Caenorhabditis elegans: one gene and its partner. The protein of the gene in region 2 purifies or fractionates together with the protein of the main gene of each other region. This does not show direct contact. Each region holds a gene or a part of one and is shown on either strand. Other genes may lie near its edges.

What was found.
Region 1: the proteins of ddx-52 (region 2) and xrn-1 fractionate together in Caenorhabditis elegans (co-fractionation; one large-scale study listed by BioGRID). This does not show direct contact.

The regions. Positions count from the first base shown.
Region 1 is NC_003280.10:14,067,173-14,072,173, reverse strand, and holds the start of xrn-1 (5'-3' exoribonuclease 1), read right to left. Parts: upstream 3,268-5,001; 5' UTR 3,178-3,267; coding exon 2,971-3,177; intron 2,038-2,970; coding exon 1,937-2,037; intron 1,520-1,936; coding exon 1,312-1,519; intron 1-1,311.
Region 2 is NC_003279.8:8,596,696-8,601,491, reverse strand, and holds ddx-52 (putative ATP-dependent RNA helicase DDX52), read right to left. Parts: upstream 2,835-4,796; coding exon 2,633-2,834; intron 2,582-2,632; coding exon 2,472-2,581; intron 2,424-2,471; coding exon 2,219-2,423; intron 2,174-2,218; coding exon 2,034-2,173; intron 1,988-2,033; coding exon 1,833-1,987; intron 1,788-1,832; coding exon 1,629-1,787; intron 1,580-1,628; coding exon 1,013-1,579; intron 967-1,012; coding exon 759-966; 3' UTR 617-758; downstream 1-616. Other genes in the region: snrp-27 (U4/U6.U5 small nuclear ribonucleoprotein 27 kDa protein), read right to left, coding at 1-122; paxt-1 (Partner of xrn-2 protein 1), read right to left, coding at 3,067-3,326, 3,707-3,912, 3,960-4,090, 4,139-4,226, 4,275-4,372, 4,421-4,538.

The sequences.
Region 1 (5,001 bases), on a different chromosome or scaffold from region 2:
GGCTGAAAAAAATTTTTTTGGACCACCTAGAGTTTTCCAAAAATAAATTTCTGGAAAAATCCGGTTTTTTATGAGGAAAAAAGTAGAAATTTGTACGTTTTTCATGATGAAAAATAGCTGAAAATTATCATTTTTGGAGCCCAGATTTGCTCAAAAATCAATTTTTCTCATTTTTTGAAGGAAAAATTAATTCGCTTTTCACTAAATCTGACAGCGAAAAATTGCGAATTACTTTTCACAAATTTTTTTTAAATGCAAATTTTAATGCATTTTTTCTGCCGAATTTCTAGATCATTTTCCATGAAATTTGCTACAAAATTCATCAAAATAGATGAAAATTTGAGTGTTTTGGCATTTTTTTTTCTCGTTTTTAGCCGCTTATTTCGCGGTTTTTTCGGCAAAAAAATCAGTTTCTGAGCCAAATTTTCCGAATTTTCCGGCTCCCTGTCAGATTTAGTGAAAAGCGAATTAATTTTTCCTTCAAAAAATGAGAAAAATTGATTTTTGAGCAAATTTCAGCTATTTTACATCAAAAACGTACAAATTTCTATTTTTTTCGCCCTAAAATCCGAATTTTCTAAAAAATTTCAAGAAAAATTGCAATTTTTCGCTTTCCGAATCTTTTTTAAATAATAAAAATTTGAAATTTAACACTTTTTTACTCAAAAACCCGGTTTTTAGCATTAAAATAGACGAAGAAACGTGATTTTTTCTTGATTTTAAGCCAAAATTGGCTTGAAATCTGTGAAATTTTTTTTCGAAAATTCGAATAAATAAACGCTTTAAAGCAAAAATTCAGTTTTTTCTCTAAAAAAGTTCGCAAAATTTCACCTAAAGGCCCAAAACACCGCAATTTTTAAAGCAAAAATATACAAATTTTAACGTTTTTATAAAAAAAATTGGACTAAAATGCTGATTTTTAGCTCTAAAACATAAAAAAAAATCGGGTTTTTTTTGTTGAAAAAACACTTCATTTTTGGGTCTAAAATCCAAAATTTCCTGAAAAATTGCAATTTTTCATCGATTTTTTCCTAAAAAATATGAAAAAAAATTGACTTTTGAGCAAATCTGAGCTCCAAATTCGATTTTTTTGGTCAAAAAAAATTTTTCAGCCATTTTGTTGGATTTTATCGCAATTTTCACAGCAAAATTGTAAAAAGTACCACTTTTTTTTTGCTGTAAAATCCAAATTTTCCTAGAAATTTCATCAGAAATTGGAATTTTCATCAATTTTTTCCTGAAAAATTTAAAGAAAATTGATTTTTGAGCAAATCTGGAGCTCAATCTGAAGAGAGCCATCATTTTCCTCACATTGTGACCGCTGAGAATAATTTTTCGGCCTTGCCAACGCGAATCGGTCGCCGATTTCGTTTTAATCCAATCGTCAAGCTTCTGATGAAGCCGTGTCATGAAATATGTGCCCGGGGTGATACAATTCGAGTCGAATCGAGCTTCAGATGGCATAATTTCGCCATTTTCCAGCGCTTTTGCGAGTTGAGTATGGGCTGTTCGGGCTGACCTGGAAAAATTGCAATTTTTGCTAGATTTTTTGAGCTTTTCTGACGTTTTTGAGCCGAAAAAAATTGAATTTTTTGAGTAAAAAAGAACAAAAATTGGATTTTTTTCAAATGAAAAAGCACAATTTTTGGTTATTTCTGACATTTTTGCGCCGAAAAATTGAATTTTTTGCAGTGAAAAATAACAAAAATTGGATTTTTTTTTTAGGTGAAAAATCACAAATTTTGGACATTTTTGCAGTTTTTGAGCCGAAAAATTGAATTTTCAAAGTGAAAAATACAAAAAATTGGTTTTTTTAATGGAAAAATACGAAAAAAATGAGTAGTTTTCCAATGTAAAAGCACAATTTTTTGGTCAAAAATCGCCAATTTTTCACCAAATTTCCTTTTTTCCTGCTAAAAGCAGCTCTTCCACATACATGAATCGTCTCGCCCGTTGCTGATTCATTTTTGCTCGCGGAGCCACACCGTCGACGGCCATGAAGAACACCTTTTGCGGGCGAATTAGATTGTAGAGATTCTGAAAAGAGAAAAATATCAAATTTTGTCATTTTTTACAGCAAAATTTGAATTTTTTGAAAAAAAAATTCAATTTAAACGGGAAAAATGCGCACTAAATCGTGATTTTTCAGACAATTTTCTGCTGAAAAACCGCCAAAATTCGATTTTTTGGTGATTTTGCAGTTTTTGGACATTTTTTTTCATCGTTTTCAACATTAAAATCGCCTTTTTTCGGTGAAAATCGATCTGAAAACCGCCAAATTTCTACTTTTTCAACAGTAAAACTATCGATTTTCGGCGGCAAATTTTAATATAAAATCCAAAAAAAAAAAATAGGCAAAAACTGCCCGAAATCAGGGATTTTAGTAAAAAACTGTAAAATCTTGTCCTCGGGGAGTACACGAGCCGTGTAAATCGACACATGGCCGTGGCCGAGATCCAGAAGGCCGATTCTTCCATTTTCAGACGTAAATAAGCTCAAAAAATCCAATTTTTGGCGGGTTTTTGACAGAAATTTGATGTTTTTTTTTCAAAATGTTCCGTTTTTAGGGTTAATTTTCTCCGTTTTTTGTGAAATTCCCTGTTTTTGAACTAATTTTCGCTGTTTTTTTGTGAAATTCCTTGTTTTTGAGCTAATTTTCGCCGGTTTTGGGCTAATTTTCGCCGTTTTTAGCCTAATTTTCGCCGGTTTTTTTTTTGCAAATTTCGCTCTTTTTTGTGAAATTCCCCGTTTTTGAACTAATTTTCGCCGTTTTTTTTTGCAAATTTCGCTCTTTTTTTTTTGTGAAATTCCTCGTTTTGTTTGCAAATTCCTCCATTTTTTGGCAATTTTCGCCGTTTTTAGCCTAATTTTCGCTCTTTTTTTGTGAAATTCCCCGTTTTTGAACTAATTTTCGCCGGTTTTTTTGCAAATTTCTCCGTTTTTGGGCAAATTTTTTCGGCGGCTCTTTACCTCAATATACGCGAAAATATTCACGAAAATCTCGTCTTCCGTAATTCGAAACGTGACGTCATCGTCATTCGGATGCGAGCAATTATGAATAATTCCATTCATATCCAAATACAAATTGTCGAATTCCGGAATTTGCGATTCGTTGATCACTTCACTCAGACACGGATATCGCTCCGATGTCCATCGGTAGAACTTGGGGACACCCATTTTCGGCGGGTTTTTGGCGATTTTTTGATCAATCCGTTAATTCTAGCGATATTCTAGATACGAGGAAGGGGGTTTTCTAGTCGAATATCTGAAAAAAATGGGGGATTTTTGAGGCGGAAAATCGATAAATTGACGGGCAAAATCAAGAAAAACACAATTTTTTATGTGGAAAATCCCAAAAAAAAAAAGCGCTTTTAAACGACGATTTTCTGTTAATTTTCGAGTTGGATTTTTGCGGAAAGTCATGAAAATCCCATTTTTATGCCAGAAATCTCGATGATTTTGCTTTGAAAACGTGTTTTTTTTCTTCAAAATCGGAATATCTGAAAAAATGGGGGGTTTTTGGCGGAAAATCGATAAATTGCCTCGGTTGAAATCGTGAAAAATTCAATTTTTTATGGAAAATCTCAAAAAAAAAATCGCATTTTCTGCAAACTTTCGAGCGAAAAATGAGATTTTAAACGATTTTTACGTCGATTTTTCATGAAAATGTCTATAAAATTATCGAAAAATCGATTTTCTGGCGATATTTTCCAATTTTCCACTAAAAACTCGTGTTTTGTGATACGAGGGTGGTTTTCTAGTCGAATATCTGGAAAAAATTGGGGATTTTGAAAATTGATAAATTGTCTCGGTTGAAATCGTGAAAAATTCAATTTTTTATGGAAAATCCCAAAAAAAAACCGATTTTTTTCGTACTTTCAAGGAAAAATGAGATTTTAAACGATCTTTACGTCGATTTTGGCGATATTCTTTTTTTTGTCTAATTTCAGAGTTTTTCGACTCAAAAAGCTAGTTTTTAGTGTTTTTGGTTGAAAATTGGCATATTTTTTTTTGTGGTTTAATTTGAAAATACCGCCAGAAAATCGACTTTTTGATGGAAATTGGTGAAAATTGCACTCAAAAAATGAAAATTCGTCGATTTTTGATTGATAAATCTAATTTTTATCTTAATTTTTTCGATTTTGAAGTGGCAATCACGTTTTTAAAGCAAAAAATTCGAGATTTCTGGCAAAAAAAGGGTTTTTCATGACTTTCGGCAAAAATATTTCGAAAATTAACAGAAAATCGCTAAAATCGACGTAAAAATCGTTTAAAAGCGCATTTTTCCTCGAAAGTACGAAAAAAATCGGTTTTTTTTGGGATTTCCCATTAAAAATTGAGTTTTTCTTGATTTTACCGGTCAATTTATCAATTTTCCGCCAAAAATCCCCAATTTTTTCCAGATATTCGACTAGAAAACCTCTCGTATCACAAAACACGAGATTTTAGTGTTTTTTCATGAAAATGTCTATAAAATTATCGAAAAGTCGATTTTCTGGCGATATTTTTCAATTTTCCACTAAAAACTCGTGTTTTGTGAGACGAGAGGTATTCTAGTCGAATATCTGGTGATTTTTGGCGGAAAATTGATAAATTGACGGGCAAAATCAAGAAAAACTCAATTTTTAATGGAAAATCCCAAAAAAAAAAACACCGATTTTTTTCGTACTTTCAAGGAAAAATGCGCTTTTAAACGATTTTTACGTCGATTTTAGCATGAAAAACCCTTTTTTTTGCCAGAAATCTCGAATTTTTTGCTTTAAAAACGTGATTGTCACTTTAAAATCGAAAAAATTAATATAAAAATTAGATTTATCAATCAAAAATCGACGAATTTTCATTTTTTGAGTGCAATTTTCACCAATTTCCATCAAAAAGTCGATTTTCTGGCGATATTTTCAAATTATAAACCACAAGAAAAAATATGCCAATTTTCAACCAAAAACATTAAAAACTAGCTTTTTGAGTCGAAAAACTCTGCAATTAGACAAAAATCGCTGA
Region 2 (4,796 bases):
TCGTCGCGATTTTTGCGAGCATCTCGACGTTCACGACTTCTACTTCGTTCTCGCCTTCTTTCCACTGATCTTGATCTGGATCGTCTCTTCCTATCGCGACTGCGACTTCTGTCACGTCCCATTGCTCGCGAACTGAAAAATAAACGAAACTTGTAACGAAAGTAAAACGCAAAGCTATTTACGAAGCTTGAAAAGAAAAGTCGTCATAAAGAATTTTTCCGCGGAAAATTCGACTCAATTCTCCTTTATTGTCATCATAACGAGTAAGAAATGAAATAATTAAAATTTTATATTTCTAAATGAGTTTTCTGCTCTAAACCAGAAGCCGAGTACAAGGAAAAAGAATTAGTTTGTTTTTCAATAAAACGTTTTTTTTTGGACAAGAAAAAAAAGAAATCGAGAAATTTATTGGACAAGAACCAAACAAAACTGAATGCTTGTGAAATTTGCTGAAATCGTCGATATTTTCGTTTGTACGGTGGGGCGCGCTTTCTCTTCTCCGTTTCAAAAAAAAAATCGGTTTCGTCCAGAACATCATAACAGCTTCGGCGTGAATTAAAATATAGTTTCAATGAAAAATACATTATAATCAACTTAAAAACACTATGTTCTGGATAAAATGGAGATAATGGTAAAACTTTTAAATTGGACTCGATTATTTCAACAACGAAAAACAGCAAAACAACAAAAAAACAAAAAAATCCTAACAATTTTCAACTGAAACAACAAAACAATTGAGCGCAAAATTCGCAAAACATTTATATATTCTTATTGTTCTTCTTGATCAACTTCTTTTTCTTGATTTTCTTCTCTGGTTTCTCCGCTGTCTGTGTTTCAGTTTTATTCTTCGCTTTTTCCTCAGCGGCTGCCTTTGCTAACATTTTCTTCTTCTTGATCACCTGCTCTTTTACAATGGCGATTTTGTGACGCTTTGGAGCATGTTTGAGCATATCCTTTTTACGATCTCTGAATTAAAAATTGAGTACTCAGAACAATAGGATTACCCTCAAACCTCGAGACTTTTTTCATTTCCATTAAATACTCCGGCACATCAAAACCAGATTGACGGATAACAGTTGCAATTGATTTAATATACTTCATATCAGCATCTGTGAAGTATGTGACAGCATGACCACTCTTTCCAGCACGACCAGTTCTTCCAACACGATGAATGTAGCTAACAATTGAAGTTGGCAAATCATAATTGATAACCAATCCAACATCAGACAAGTCAAGACCTCTTCCAAGTAATTCAGTACAAACGAGAACCCATATCTCTCCTCGACGGAACCTTTCCATCGTTTCATCCCTTTCCTTATCACTTTTTCCACTGTTGATTGAATCAACTTTTAGATTTGAATCAATTGCAGACAGTAATTTCACCAGTTGCACGGCACGATCCTTGCTTTGTACAAAAACTAGAGCTGGTGGTTTGAAGGAAGTTCGCAACAAATTTCGAATAGCGATTTTCTTTCCATCTTCAGTTCCACAATAGGTTAACTTTTGCTTCACACTTGTATTAGACGAGTTTCGTTCACCAACACATACCATACCAATTTCATCGATATTCTCCTTACACCTGGAATTTAGATATGGAATTTTGATATGACAAATCTTCGAAAACGTACCATTTTTCAACTTCATGTGAAAATGTGGCACTGAAGAATGCGACACGTGTGCATTTGGCATCACAAGCCTTGTAAATTGCAGCGAGTTGGTTACGGAAGCACTTGTCCTGGCCTTCAACAACCTCGAACAAACGATCGGATTCATCAACGACAAGCCATCTGAAAAAATGAACAAAGTTTTTAGGGAATGGTTCAAATGCAAACCTTAATGAAGACGTATCAATTTTATCCAAATGAAAAACGATACGATTTGGAGTTGACACGAGGATATCTGCATGCTGAATATCAGTTTCTTCTCCACTGAAGTTGGCAGCTGAGATCGAAGTATTGGCGCAATATTTCAAAAATTCGGTGTAAGTCTGAAAATCGTTAAATTTGATTACGATTCTATAAATTCTGTAGAACCTGTGCTGCTAGTTCTCTTGTCGGTTCGAGTACCACTGCCAACAGCTTCGAAGAGTTAGAGGATGAATAATCAGCACGTTGCTTTAATTCGAGAATCTCATCGATGACTGGAAGAGCAAACGCCAACGTTTTTCCTGATCCTGGAACAGCCGGAATTGGAAGTTTTTCTCTTTTCAAGTCTTTACCTGTGGGAGCACTAGCAAGAACATTTCTTCTCTCAGTCATAAATGGAATTGATTGCATTTGAATTGGTGATGGTTGACGGATTGAATTCTCAGATAGACGATTGAGCAATGATGGTGACATGCTGGAATCGGAGAATCGTAGAATAATATTAGGAAGATGATCACCCCAAGTGAAAATTCGATTGGTACGGCGAATGTCGTCGAGCTGAAGATTTTTTTTCAAATAAAAATTAAATTTCTGTAGAAATCTCACCAATTTCTGCATTCTCTTTTCCACGTCGCCAACGGTCTCCTCCACTTCATTTTCAGAATCTCCGTCAGAATCATGTACTCTCTTTCGTGATGCAAGAATTTCAATCGACGCTGAATATTACAAATGGTTTATAAGTATTATACTAAATAGACAATATTAACCTTTCTTTTTATTTTTCTTCACTTTTTTCTCAATTTTTGACTCGACTTTTCCGATCATTTTTTCACGAAGTTCGTCATATCTCCGAAGCGATTCTTCTGTGATCGTTGATAGTTCTTTCTTTTTGTTAAGATCATCGGCATCTTTCTTTTTCGGTTGTGATCTTTTAATACCGAACGAAAGGGTTCTAAATGCCAAGGACATCTGAAATCACATATAGGTATACAGATTCGGGTGAACATTTCGAAAGAGGTAAAAATGATGAGATTCAACATCATTATAAAAAATTAGAGTAAAAATGCAACGATTAGTCAGTAAAATTCATAGGAAATTTGATGTAGTTGTATAAAAACCAAAGCCAAATATAAATAAAACAATAGAAATTATATTCACGAGTGCAAAAAAAGTAAGCTCCCCTAGATCAAGCTAATTGAGATTATTGGAATGCAAGAGAGCTGTGAGATTTCATAGAGTTAATGACGTTGATTTTATCGTTGAGAATCAGTTGACACACGTCTTCGCTCATTTGATTCGCGATCGTTGCCATCGCTGGTTTAGTGCATTCAGTGCTGGATAAAACACGAGAAGATAGAAGAAGATCGGCAGTGACGAGATCAAGTTGTTGAGACCATCCTTCCAATTTTTGAGTATTTTGAATCATTGACATGTTAACTGCATCCAAATATGTTGTAAGACCTGAAAAAGTTTTCTAAATACATTTTTTCAAAAGAAGGCAAAATTATTTGTTTTCCAATTGCCGTTCGGATTGAGTACTGTAACAAACTTTCGAGTTTTTTTCTTCCAATTTTCAAATATATTTTCTAAAAATAATTGTTTCAGGGAACGGCATCCATAAGTACCGGAAGCAATATTTTAAAATTTTTAAACGTGTTGCCGCTAATAAAAATGGGTTTACAGCCGAAAATTGATAAAACGAGCTTGCAATCAAATTCAACAATCCCACTTCTAAAATGATTTTTGAAGAGATATTGTTCCAACTTTTATAATCCTTACTTTTGAGACCAAATGTTTCATTCAATTTAGTGATACTGTTTTTTTAAATGAAAAAAGCTCGCCTTTAACTGTATGTGCACCATTAGAAACTGCTGATTTAATTTTTGCAAGTCTTCTGGTGACTGATTTAGCGTAACACTCGTCCACCGGAACTCCATCAAATCTAATTTCGTAGCTTTCTTCGTGAACAGCGGCGTCACACGAAAGAATGCTTTCAATTAGAGTATTGATTGCACAATCCCTTGGATCAACACAGTATTGGGAGAATCTGAAAGAACATGAAATTCAAATAGTTTCGAAGATTTTTATACAAACGTATGTCTGAAGGCCACATATCGATCGATAGTTATTTCAATTTTCTGGTTAATCTTGTTCACGTGCCACTTCATGAGACAACTATTCGTGGCAGTTTTCATCATTTGTTCGCCCGTTAGATGGTGAGGTGTCTGAAATTAAAAGATTAAAAGATTAAAAGTTAAATCTGAAATGTTCACCATTGCAAGAGATGCCTTGAGTTTTCCAAGACGTTCATCAAAAGATTCACGAGCTACTGGCGATGGAGACTTTTCCATTTTTACTTTTCTGGAACAAAAAGATTGAAAATTGCAATTTTTGAAAAGTTTTTTTTACTTAGACTCATCAGAAGCTCCTTCTAAATCTGATGTCTTCACTGCTTGTCGCTTTTTCGCTGCAGATGCCTTCACGTAACTTCCAGTTTTTGTACGATCCTGAATATTAAATTTGAAATATATTTTTAAATAATGAAGATCACTTACTTTGTTAGCAGCAATTCCAGCACCCATTGTTCGAATCTTTTGCATTAAAGTCTGAGAATATTCACATCCGAGAAGTGTTACATTAATGAATAATTGTGAGAGGCATTGAAGTTGGATTCTGGAATTGAAAATTGTTTTAGAAATAGTACAAGTGTGATATTATAAAACTAATGTTTTTTTTTCCAGAACACAATTTAGAAACATTAATTTTTTAAATCTATAAAATTTGAAATCAAAACAAATCAGGCATGGGTGGTAATTCTACAAAATGACGTATTGCGCCATGTTTTTCCAACACTTCTCATTAAAAATTATGTTCAAAATATAGAAATTCACTTGATTTAGTTGAAAATATTATCAATTTTAACTGAAACAT